Coturnix japonica: one gene and its partner. The protein of the gene in region 1 purifies or fractionates together with the protein of each later gene. This does not show direct contact. Links are inferred from orthologs where the notes say so. Each region holds a gene or a part of one and is shown on either strand. Other genes may lie near its edges.

The links. Proteins that work in one complex are often made in the same cells at the same time.
Region 2: the proteins of SAP18 (region 1) and SRSF1 purify together in Homo sapiens (co-immunoprecipitation; 4 studies listed by BioGRID and IntAct, with this or other methods). This does not show direct contact. The link is inferred for Coturnix japonica from reciprocal best matches to the Homo sapiens genes SAP18 and SRSF1.

The regions. Positions count from the first base shown.
Region 1 is NC_029516.1:159,782,375-159,788,567, forward strand, and holds SAP18 (histone deacetylase complex subunit SAP18), read right to left. Parts: upstream 3,877-6,193; 5' UTR 3,843-3,876; coding exon 3,453-3,842; intron 3,106-3,452; coding exon 2,996-3,105; intron 1,579-2,995; coding exon 1,456-1,578; intron 924-1,455; coding exon 767-923; 3' UTR 440-766; downstream 1-439. UniProt on the Homo sapiens protein: Component of the SIN3-repressing complex. Enhances the ability of SIN3-HDAC1-mediated transcriptional repression. When tethered to the promoter, it can direct the formation of a repressive complex to core histone proteins.
Region 2 is NC_029534.1:7,446,351-7,452,561, reverse strand, and holds SRSF1 (serine/arginine-rich splicing factor 1), read right to left. Parts: upstream 4,341-6,211; 5' UTR 4,185-4,340; coding exon 3,991-4,184; intron 3,648-3,990; coding exon 3,463-3,647; intron 3,106-3,462; coding exon 2,933-3,105; exon of another isoform or gene 2,664-2,932; coding exon 2,469-2,663; 3' UTR 489-2,468; downstream 1-488. UniProt on the Homo sapiens protein: Plays a role in preventing exon skipping, ensuring the accuracy of splicing and regulating alternative splicing.

The DNA.
Region 1 (6,193 bases):
ATCACTCGTCCCTTTGGGTGACTGATTTCCTTCCTCAGCACTCGAGACAGTTTTGAAGCTCACTGCTGATAATGCTCCTTGCCATCGCAGTCAGCCCATCGCAGCTTTCACTCACACCTCCTTCAACATGTGGACAGTTGTTTCCTGCTGTCCAACTAAAAACCGGCTGCTGTTGGACTCGACTGCAAAGTGGATTTCCACATGAATGAAAACTTCAGCGTTGCTCCCGGCCGTGCCAAACGCCGCCCAGACCAGAGATCTGCCCCCAACACTCCGGTGCTTCACCCACAAGGTACCGCCGCAGAGCAGAGGCGGTGAGCGGAACGAGCTCTCCCCCTGCAGGGACAGCGCAGCACAGCAGCTGCGGGGCGGTGCAGGAGTTGCTCACCGCACAGCATTACCAGCAGCTTCTGACCGTAGCACAATTGGACTCAAAAGATTAATAACAGCCATCTTTATTCCACACAAGACAGAAGTACAGAACACCTGTCATCCTCCTGGTTGCATTCTACCTGACACACAAGACACAATGACCTACTTAGCAAACTATGGACCAGCCAAGGAAAAGAGTGATGGCACTGCTAAAGATTAAGCGTTCCTTCTAAACAAACAAACTGAAAGGCTTAAAATGTGACTTACACCCTTGACGTTTAGCTTTGTCTTCAGGTGTCCTTACTTTGCAACAAAGACAATAAAAAAAAAAAACCTGCTTTAGAACAGCAAGGAGGAATAAGCAGAAAAGATCACGGTACAAAGCAGCCGTGGCTCAGTATGGCCTCATGCGGCTGGAAGGCGGCGGGGCGCGGTTGGGTGGTGTAATGGCGATATCCAGGTAGTCTCCTATCTGGAATTTCTGGGACTGCAACGTCATCGAATCGTCTGTGCCCTTCCTGCCCGACATGGTGCTGCCGATCTCCTTCACCCTGTGCACAGAGATGAAAAGCAGTCAGTTACCAGAGCCCAGGCTTTGCATGTCCAACCCAGGAGCAGCACCAGTCTTTCCAACCTCGCCATGCCACGCTCCATCCACAGGGTGTTCTGCTGCACCAAGTAAAGCTACATAGAGTCCTTCTAACAGGGCATAGGGGTGGGGACTCTTCAGCCATCTTAGCACGAGACAGAACCCTCTGCCTGCTCACACAGAGCTGGAGCCCCACAGGCTGCAAGGCAGCCTCACACCACCAGGAATGAAGCTCCACCTCACACCGTAGGGCCACCTTTAGCTGGTGGCCAATCCAGCGATCCAAGTGCTTAAACAAACACCTTCATTGTTTAGGGAACACAAACTACAGCAGTTACCAATCAAAACACGAAGTTCATAATGGCAATCCTGCAGTCTGTTATCATGAAATATTATCTGTGAACATTTGGCTTTAAAATCAGCATTGATAAAAAGTATTTTACTGCTGTGCTTCCTCGAGCTTCCTGTTGGTCTGGAGATGAAACGCCCTTTACCTGTAGCCCGGTCGCTTGAGATCTGTAAAAACGATTGCAAAATTGAAGTGTGTGCCCTTCTTCCGTGCTTCTGGGTACACCTCCTTCACCAGACTGGTCAGCTCCTTCAGAGTCGCGTCCATCCTACATTAAACAAACAAACCCAAGTGGTTCACTTCTCAAAGCAGCAATACAAAAAGCTTTCCATGCTCATTTAAGATGGAATTGGTGTTTTGCAACAGCTTAAACAAACATTTCCTTGCCTTTGCGTGCTTCCTGTTAATACACAAAGAAGAGCAACACTTCACATACTTCAGCTATACAGGGAGCTGCTTATTTCACAACTATGTGGCATTCCAAACAACCAATACTGATCAGCATTGCTCTTCCAGGCCTCTCAAAAAAGAGTGACCTTTTTATAATGCATTAATGCATTTACACAAAATGTTTCCTTATTTAAGTCGGTATTAATGTTAAAATGGTTTCTTAGATAAAGTGTAGGAACAAAAGCAAAACAATCAATCACGAGCAATGTCCCCAGGACAAGGGGAAATGGCCTCAAGTTGTGCCAGGGCAAGTTTAGGTTGGATATTAGGAAGAACTTCTTCCCAGAAAGGGTAGTTAGGCACTGGAATAGGCTGCCCAGGGTGGTTGAATCGCCATCCCTGGTTGTGTTTAAGAGCCAGTTGGATGTGGTGCTCAGGGATATGATTTAGTGGAGGGTTTTTAGAGTTAGGGTACTGGTTAGGCTGCGGTTGGACTTGATGATCTTCAAGGTCTTTTCCAACCTGGGTAATTCTATGATTCTATGTCCCATCAGTACTTCCACTTCTGCTCTGACAGACAGCACTCCTCCTTCTCCCCACCCTTCAACCAAACAAAGCCAAAACCAACTTCAGAGCTCTACAGACACAAGGACCGCAGCCACCCAAGCAGCTCAGGGAACCGCACTTCTTCTCTTGTGTAATCAGTGATAGAACTAGAGGGAATGTTTTTAAGCTGCGCCAGGGGAGATTCAGGCTGGACATTAGGAAGTATTACTTCTCGGAAAGGGTAGTCAGGCATTGGAATGCACTGCCCAGGGAGGCGGTGGAGTCACCGACCATGGGAGTGTTCAAGAAACGTTTGGATGTTGTGTTGATGAATATGATTTAGCTGGGAAGTATTGGTGACGATTGGGACTGGATGATCTTGTAGGTCTTTTCCAACCTTGATAATTCTGTGAACTGTGAACACACTGCACCCAGTGTGAGCTCTGTGCCACCGCTGGCTGACAATGGCTGCTCTGAGTGCTCTATGGATGGCTCAGACATCATGAACAGCCTGCACTGAGTTCATAAACCCCCTGCAGAACTACGTGAGAACTGCCTGCTCTGTCAGCGACAACAGTGGGTTTATTCAGCCATAGAGCAATGCACGTGTTACAGCTCCAGCAGAAACTCTGAAGACAGTGTATATAAAGTCACACAATCCACCTTCAAAAGTGCCCTTTAAAATGCAATGAGAGGGATTACTGCATTCACACTGACAGCAGCCCCGCAGGAGCCACCCGCCCGCTCACCATGTGTAGATCTGCAGCTCGCTGGAGGGCACGTTGCCGCGGGAGAACTCGTCCATGCGGTGGTGCCGCCCGTTGTTGGTGGTGAAGACGCGGAGCAGCAGCGGACACGTCTGGGGACGGCACGAAGCGGCGTGAGGCAGCGCACGGACAGCCCGCAACGAGGCCTAGCGGCAACAACCGCACAGACAACCCCGACCCCGGTGGCGCAGTGGTAGGAACGCCGCCGTGCAACACCGGAGGCCATGGGTTCGAATCCCCCCTGTGGCACAAGTGGTAGAAGTGCCGCTCTGCAGCACAGAGACTCGAATCCCAGGGGTTGGACTCGATGATCTCTAAGGTCCCTTCCAACCCGCACCAGACTATGAGACTATGAGACACGCCCCCCCACCCCTCCCGGCGGCCCCAACAACAGCTGCGGCGGGACGAGCCCCGCGTGCAGCCCGGCCCGGCCCAGCACCTTCTCGCGGTCGATCGGTTTCTCCGGCTCTTTCTTGATCTCCTCCTGCGTGACGCGCGACTCCACCGCCATGTTGTCCCGCAGTGCACTACCCGGATGTCTCGCGGCGCGCTCACGGTTCTCGCGATAGTGGAGCGAAGGCGGCGGTGCGCGCATGCGTGCTGGGCGCGGCTGGCGACTGAGAGCGCGGGAGCGCTGTGAGGGTGTGAGGGGGTTGAAGTGGGATGAAGCGCGCTGTGAGGGGGCTGTGACGGGGCTGTGAGGAGGCTGTGGCTGCGGCCGGTCGGTGCCCGCTGAGGGAGATGGGGCCGGAGCGGCGTCGTGCTGCCGGCCCGGAGCAACGCCGCGCTCTGTGGGGGCTGTTCGGTTGTCCAGGTACAAAAAAGACATGGAGATTTTGGAAAGGGTCCAGAGGAGGGCCACAAAGATGATCAGGGGGCTGGAGCACCTCCCCTATGAGGACAGGCTGAGGGAGTTGGGTTTGTTCAGCCTGGAGAAGAGAAGGTTGCGGGGTGACAGCTCATTGCAGCCTTTCAATACCTGAAGGGAACCTACACCCAGGAGGGGAGTAAACTCTTCGAAAGGGCTGATAATAGCAGGACACGGGGAAATGGTTTTAAGTTAAAAGAGGGAAGATTTAGGTTGGATGTTAGGGGGAAGTTCTTCACTAGGAGAGTGGTTAGGCCCTGGAAAAGGCTGCCCAGGGAGGTTGTGGATGCCCCGTCCTTGGAGATGTTCAAGACCAGGTTGGACGGGGCCCTGGGCAACCTGAATCTAGTAAAGGTGTATGTTTGGTGGCCCTGCCAGGCAGGGGGGTTGGAACTACATGATCCTTGAGGTCCCTTCCAACCCGGGTCATTCTGTGTGCCTGTGAGGAAGACATAGGCAGCTGCCTAATGTGAATAAGTGAAATAATCAGCTGGTGCAGCTACTGGTGGATTCAAATAAATTGGAATTTCACTTCCCTTAATATTACGTGTTGGAAAGATCAAGCACATGTGCTTTTCATTTCTGAGCTTGGCTTTTCCAAGAATAAAGTCTTGTATTAGGTTAAATTTAAGTCTGATGTTTTGTCTTAGACTGTGAAGGTGTGAGAGATCTGTGTTCCTGATGTGATAGCTTAAAGAAGTGAGTTATTGTAACAACGGCAGGATGTTCATTTGTCTTCAGAGAATTTACATTTAAATTATTTCATAGAATCATAGAATTACCCACGTTGGAAAAGACCTTGAAGATCATCAAGTCCAAGTGATATATCCAGTTCAGTTTAGAAGGCCTGCAAGCACAGGCTCCAAAACCTGTGGACAGCCTATGCTGCTGATCAACCACCCTCCCTGTATAAATATATGTATATATATTTATCATTCTGTTATCTCAGTCTGTGTTCAGTTCTGCTGCACCCCCTCCTATCAGCAGTCACCGCTGGGAAGTCTGGCTGTGCCTTCACTCCTCTCAGCAGATACTTACACGCAGTGTTGAGGTCTGCGGGTTGTCGTTCTCAGGGCTGAGCTGTTCCAGCTCTCAGACTGACCCCATGTGACAGCGTTTCCAAACACTGTAGATAGGTGACTTCAGTGGAATACTTATTAAAAGAATTTGTAGGAAAGGAAAAGAAGAAGTATTTCTTGTATTCATCATAAAATAAATAAATAAATAAATCTTGCAGTTCACCTCTAATCCAACCAACGGCAATTGATTTATGGCACTCCTAATACAGGGCAAGAGAACCAACAGCCTCTTGAAGTTCACCCTCAGCTTTCATGAACTTTCTCCTGTGGTAGCCTGGACAGCGCCGTGCGGTTTTTGATCTGCATTATGTTATAACATGTCATCATTTTATTATCAAAGGGAATGACTCAGCCTTGCCATCATTTGTACGATTTGATTTCCCAGGCAACGATGCAGTTTATTACAGTGTTTAAAATTAATTATATCTGCCCTCTTAATATATACTTGGGGCTCAATATGTGAACCACCATTTTCGAAACAAAGGGATTTATGTCTCGGATCAGGTATCATAAAAGAACAGCTGTAACAAATAAAGCACAGTTCTGTTATGAATCTAAGTAGTTCCTTCTGTTAGAAGTTTTTGAATGCTTGATTTATGTGAAAAATGACCTAATGTGCTTGCATTTAAGAAAATTCTAGCATGACAGTTATTTGTGGGCTGTATTAACAATCACCTTTTATTTGTCTAAAATTTCAGGCTCTTAAGCACATGGAAGAGAAAGTTGGGAATTATCTGCAAATGGAAATGCGATGATGTGCTCTGTAGGCTGGCATGCAGAATGCAGGCTGTGCTGGAGGCAGCACAGTGCTGAGTGAAGGGCTCCCACCAGGTAAGGCCGAGGTCCCACACGTTACCTGGCTTAGTCTGGCAGCTCCCTGCTGCCTGTCCTTACCCTCAGTCATGGGATTTCTCCTCCTTTCTGCCAGGCGTGTCCCTTATTGGGTGCTCCCAAGAACAAGTGGAATTCCCTAATTTGGGAGAAAGCTATTCAGCTGGGAGCTGGTTTCATGTCACCGTATTGGAAGTCTGCCCTGGTACACACTGAAAGAAATTGAAAGCTTTTAGCTGGGATTGGGAACTGGAGTGAGACGCTGTATATGAGTGAGTCTCTGGCCTTTGTTGCTGGGAAGAGATAGCCAAATTACGAATCAAACATCTTCAGATATGAATGTCTTGAGAACTGAAACAGGTGATTTCAGAAGTGTGAATTTCTGCTTTAAGAATTGTTAAT
Region 2 (6,211 bases), on another chromosome or scaffold:
CCTATGGAAAGTTTTCCTGCTCGGCGTCAACACTTGAACTGGTTGTGCAGTGAACTCACTAAGTTCACTGTTACCTCATCAGGAAACCGAAGGAACATCCACATCCTTCACGCTGGATGTGGCTCCTGCACGGAGACTCTCCAAGGCTGCCAGCACTGGAGCAGCCAGGTGTGGGGACACAGCCCGCAGTGTGTGAACGCTGGGCTGATCTCACATTCACTTCCAGCTGTTTGTTATCATCCCCAACAGCGAGGAGCCTTTTGTCGGCGGGTCCAACTCTTCCTTCTTTTCCCCTAAGCAATCAATCAATCCCAGCCGTGTCCCACGGGGCGCTGCTCCTTCACGCAGGAGTTCAAACATCGGCGCTTCCTGTGGAACAGCAGATCCTTGTTGGACACAACAAGAGCCTTTTTGTGCAGAGCCAACAATGCTGCAGCTCCTGGTGAACAGCGGGGATTTGGTGACCAACAAATGATGAGAACCGGGCGTGATTTTGTAAAAATTTTATTTGTCAAAGGAAAAAAAAAAAAAAAAGAAAAAAATAAAAGAAAAAAAATAATAAAGGCAGCAGCCAATTGAAAGCCTACGTCATCTTTAGCTCCAATTTCCGCCTTGGAATTTAGAGAAACAACTTTTGGTGTTGAAACAAACCCCCCTTTTTCCCCATTCAACGTTTACCATCTACTCGTGCTGAATCCTTCCAAGGAGATCGCTCCAGCGTTACCTCTCCAGGTCCTCGCTTTGCTCCTTTTACCAAAAAATGACAAACTCCATCGTGCATCATAAGGGCTCCAATCGTCACAAATGGGAAAAGAAAAAGCTTTGGAATAGCCAATTGAGTTGAATAAAAAAATCCACACGAATGCGGTTTGGTTGGGGCAGGAATCCACTCCTACGTTCCTGGTAATCTGATCCCGCTCCATGAATCCTTGCCATTCAGCCTCCCTATCCTATCCACATTATGATTTGAATCCAATGATCCAGCTCCAAGGATTGGGATCCAGTGAGCCCTCTCCAATCCAAACCTTTATAACCAGCAAAACCAAAAAAGAGGAGGCAAAAAGTTAGATACCGCAATGAAAAAATAGGATTCTGGGGAATGATCAGTTATGTTTGCCATCAATTAATACAGATGTACAGTAATAACTATCAATTCCCCAAAACAAGCTTCTGAATGGTGATGCTATATCTTTTGTTCTCTTTAAGAAACGTTAATTATTTGGAGGAAACACTGCAATATTTACATATGTCAACTAAAAATGCCAACATACTCATTGCTCGTACGGTGGTGCTCTACAGCTTCTGTGGTTGCAAAAAATGTTTATGAAATTGGAAAAGTTTTACTGCTAAAGCTGTCACCTACTGCGCCTCTCAGCTACGGCCAGCACCCCCGGCTGGAAGGTAACAGAGGAACTAACTGCAGCTCTCAATACGGTGAGTCAGCTCTGAATTAGGCTGGGGAAGGGCTGACAAACGATTCCCAACCAGGTTCTCTTAGGATTTGGGTTTTTGGCTTTTTTCCCTTTCATTCTGATACTTAAAAGAAATGAAATAGCAACGCTGTATCAGTCACACAGAGGACATGCAGATTTTAGCAGTATTGATATTATACTCCCATTTAAAGATACCCTTGATCCGCAAGCGTGGAAGTACTGCGGGCCGTTAACGCTTGGAACCAAATGCCGCGGGACAAACCAATGCTCCCACCCCTGTCCCGGTTTACTCCTTTAAAAAAAGACTAGAATGGAATAAGGAATTACACCGGCAAGTACTGAGCCACAATTGCCAAGAGGGTTTTAAAGAACAGAGCAATTGCAGCCCGCAGTGACCAAGAGGTGCCTGAAGAAGTGACACGCAGGCGCACGTTCTCAATTCACCTGTCTCAGTATAAGGTCAATACTGCCAAGTTCATCTGTGACAATAGCACTTGGAGTCATACCATTGCCTCCATTATTGATCTGATCCTCCTCAATCCTCCTTTTGACAATCCTAAAATGATTGACATGTGCTCCACAATCCTTTAATCCAAAGCATTCTTAATCCATCTCTTCAGATATGTCTACAGAAAGACACACGAAAAGGCAAGATAAAATATAAGATCCCCCAGAAGAGACAAGTTAGCCACAAACATCCCAACATCCCCAGCTCGCATGAACCATAGCTGAACACTGAGACATTTACACAGCAATACCACAGTTTGAAGAGTGTTGGTATTTAACTAGAACTAAATTGAAACAATCCTGACTGACATCAATTAAAATACAGTTTACCAAAGACATGAGGGGGAATGTTGTTGTTACGGAGCAAATACTCACTAGGGATTTTACACAAGAATGCAATTCAACACTTCAGCCAATCTGAATAAAACAGCTTGAATTTAAAAAAAAATAATATTGAAAGACTGTACTGAGTAAAGGAAAACTGTGTACAACATGGGGTTCTACAAAAAGATCAGAGCTAGTGATCGCTTATGTACGAGATCGGGATCTGCTGTGGCGGGGAGAGTAGCGTGGAGATCCTCTGCTTCTTCTTGGGGAATAACTGCGGCTTCTGCTGTTGCTTCGACTACGGCTTCTGCTACGACTACGGCTGCGTGACCGAGATCTTCCATAGCTTGGACTTCTTGGACCATCAACTTTAACACGGATGTAGGCAGTTTCTCCCTATTGAATAGACACAACTTTCGATTGAAAGGTCTAGGCTTCGGGGCCATCGTTTTAGGCATGCTGACAGACTGCAGATATCTTTACTAAGGCACAGAAATAGACATCAAACTCTTAATAAAGTCTATTTCGTGACAAACTGACAGCAGACTCAGTTTAGCTGCTTCGTGTATTAACGCAATGATCACCACACATTCCTTACCTTCACATCCTACTGTTAAGCCCTTTGTATCCAATTCTGGCCAAAAACAAGTAAGCGTGAAACCTACCTCATGAGATCTAAACTTAGTGTTATCCAGTTTTCGCACAGCGTAGGTCATATCTTCCTTCCGTACAAACTCCACGACACCAGTTCCATCTCGGAAAACATCAGCATAACATACATCACCTGCTTCACGCATGTGATCCTTTAAATCCTGCCAACTTCCACTTGGAGGCAGTCCTGGATAAAAAGCAACACCTGGCTTTAAAACCCAATGGTGCGATCATATCATAGTATCACAGTCTCGTGCGGGTTGGAAGGGACCTTAGACATCATCGAGTCCAACCCCCCGCGATTTGAGCCTTCTGTGTAGCAGAGCGGCACTTCTGCCACTTGCGCCACAGGGGATTCGAACCCAAGGCCTCCGGTGTTGCAATTCCAGCATCATCCCGCAGCACACGAGCAGAACACCCTGCACACAGCCCACAGCATCCAGCACCCCTCCCCCATCCCGAGGCTTCGCAGGGAAAAGCGGAGCCGCGTCGCCCCCCGCGCACGGCAGCACGAAGGACCCGGGGGAAGAGAGCAGCGACTCACCCGAGACGATCACTCTGTACTCCGATCGCCGGGACGGGGGGCCGTATCTGCCCCGCGGGGCTCCGCCCCCTCCGCCGCCGCCGCCTCCTCTGCCGGTCCCCCGGCCGCTGCGAGGGAACTCCACGCGGAGGCGATACCCATCGTAATCGTAACCGTCCCGCCCGTACACGGCGTCCTCGGCGTCCCTGCGGGTCGGGACGGGCGGTGAGCGCGGCCGCGCCCTGCCACGCGCCGCCCCCCGCAGCGCCTTTGTTCCCAATACCCGCGGCCCCACCCCGCCCCCACCACCACCATCAGCACCACAACCACCATCACCGCCATCACCGCCACCCCCAGCGGCGGCACCGCGCCGGGCCCGGAGCGCAACGAGCCGAGCGTGTGTGTGTGTGTGTGTGTGTGTGTGTGTGTGTGGAATAGCGCGCAGCGGGAGCGGCGCCGCGCGTGGAGGAAGGGAGGGAATGGAGGGGGGGGGTATCGGCGCCCGGCGGAGCCGTTCCCGCCCGTGCCCCAGGGCCCCGCGGCGCTCACCTCGGGTCCTCGAACTCCACGAAGGCGAAGGGCGGCCCCCCGCGGCGGTTCTTCAGGTCGATGTCGCGGATGGCGCCGTATTTGTAGAACACGTCCTCGATGTCCTTGGTGCGGATGTCGGGGGGCAGGTTGCCCACGTAGATGCGGCAGTCGTTATTGCCGGCCGGGCCGCGGATCACGCCCCCTCCGGACATGCCGAGGTCGGCAATGGCTGCGGCGTTCAGGGGCCGGGGCGCGGAGCGCGGGCGGGCGGGCGGGCGCGGGGCCGGGCCGTGCGGACGGGAGCGGACACGGCGACTCCAGCAACCGCCGCTTCAAAATGGCGACCGCGGCTCCCCTCGCGCTCGCAGCGCGCACTGATCTCGCGCACTGATCTCTCTCACCCCGCGCCGCAGCACCGCCGGGCCGCGAGACCGCAATGCGTTCCGAGTATCCCGCCGCGCTCTCGCCCTCGCGCATGCGCGGCAGCGCGGAAAAGTAGTTCCTCTCTTTTGCCTTTCGCCTCCGCTGCTCCGCCAAAGCGGCTGTGGCCGCACAAGAGGCTCCGCTCCTGCCAGCGAGGTCGGGATGAACGTGAATATCCGCCTCCGATCCCCGCTGTCCGCACCGGGACCGCCGCGCTTCTTTCCGCTGCCGTCTCAGGGCGCCGGGCCGTGTGACGTCACTTCCGGTGCGGCGCTCGCGCCAAGAAGTCCCGGCCGGCGCTGGGGGTGTCCCACAATGCACCGCGCCGCTCGGGGCTCTTGGCGCCAAGGCGCGGGGCGTGGCCCGGCCCACAATGCACCGCGGGCGGGTCGGGCCGTGCGCAGCGCTGGGCGGGCGGGCTCGGTACTGAGCGTCCATTCCCGGCCGGTCCGAACCGATCCGTGTCCGCACGAAGCGCTGCGGGCGGATCCGCCCTGCGGCTGCACGGGGTGCACGGGGAGCGGGCCGTGTGGGTCCGTCAGCCGCTCAGCGGACACTGTGTGGGACGGTTGGGACGGGCTCGGTGCGGAGGCAAAATGGCCGCCCCGAGGGCACGGAGCGGGCACCGCGTCACCGCCCGCCTCAGGGGAACGCGGCGGGGCGGGCAGCGGGACGGCAACGGGATACGAATAAAGGGCAGGAACACGGCAGGGTGTGATGGGGACTGAGTCATGAATGGAACAGCAGTGCAAACACCGGGCGGGTGGGAAACGAGCGGAACTGGGGGCGATGGCGGGCGCTGTGTACGGGTGTGAGCAGAGCCGGCCTAAGGGCACAGCCTAACTATGGGCAGAACCTTCCTATGAGCACAGCCGAACTATGGGGGCACGAGAATAACGCCGTGCTGAGTTTGTTTTCTTGATGAGGTTGTAATTGATGTGAAGGCACAGTAACACACCGGGATGTTACCCTTGTTACTCACACGTCTCTGACATTTCTTCAGGCAGCAGATGTAATTTTGAACGTATAAATTGCTTTTAAGTAATGAGGGTGCAATTAGATGAGCCAGGCTTTGGTTTAACAACAAGAATTCTTTTGGCCTGTAGCTGCTCTGTGGTGACACAGAAACTCCAACATCCACTTTTCTTTCTTTAATACAGCATAAAGTCTTTGCCTGACCCATGAGGGCAGAGCAGTCCCTGCTCTGTTGGCTCACACTTGGCTGCCTGGACGTTGTGCTTTGCTTTGCAGATGTGGCAATGCATTGAGGGCTGGAAGTGGCACTGGGGCACACAGTGGTTGCCTGCCTGCATCCAGCACCGCTGAGCCTGCCTGGTGCTGGAGGGCTGAATCTCAGCACCACAGGGATGGGGAAACAGCAGCTGAGCATGGAGAAAAGCCATTATGCTCCTGAGTTGATGAGGGGAGTTTGAGGAATGTGTCCGAGCATTTAGCAGTGGCTGTTGTGCTCACTTTGTTTTCATTTGTTAATTCAAAGCGTGTATTCCTCCCACAGACAGTGACTTACAGTTAGAAAACATCCCATAGTGAAAACATTTTCATGACAAAGTTATAGTGTGCTTGGTTATTATCAATGCCTTTTATTTTTGTCCCTGTGGGTTAAAGTGCAGTAACGTCCTCTGCTCTAATGGTTTCTGACATTAGTGATGCCTGTGCTGCATTGCTGGTGCTTTAAAGACTGCTGTCAACCACAGGAGGATGTGATGAGCAAAGCCCACCAGCAGAAGCGGTGCTTTACCCACATACAGCTCATGGTTCTGGGGGATTTCCTGCATCTTTATGGAGCTTTAATGCT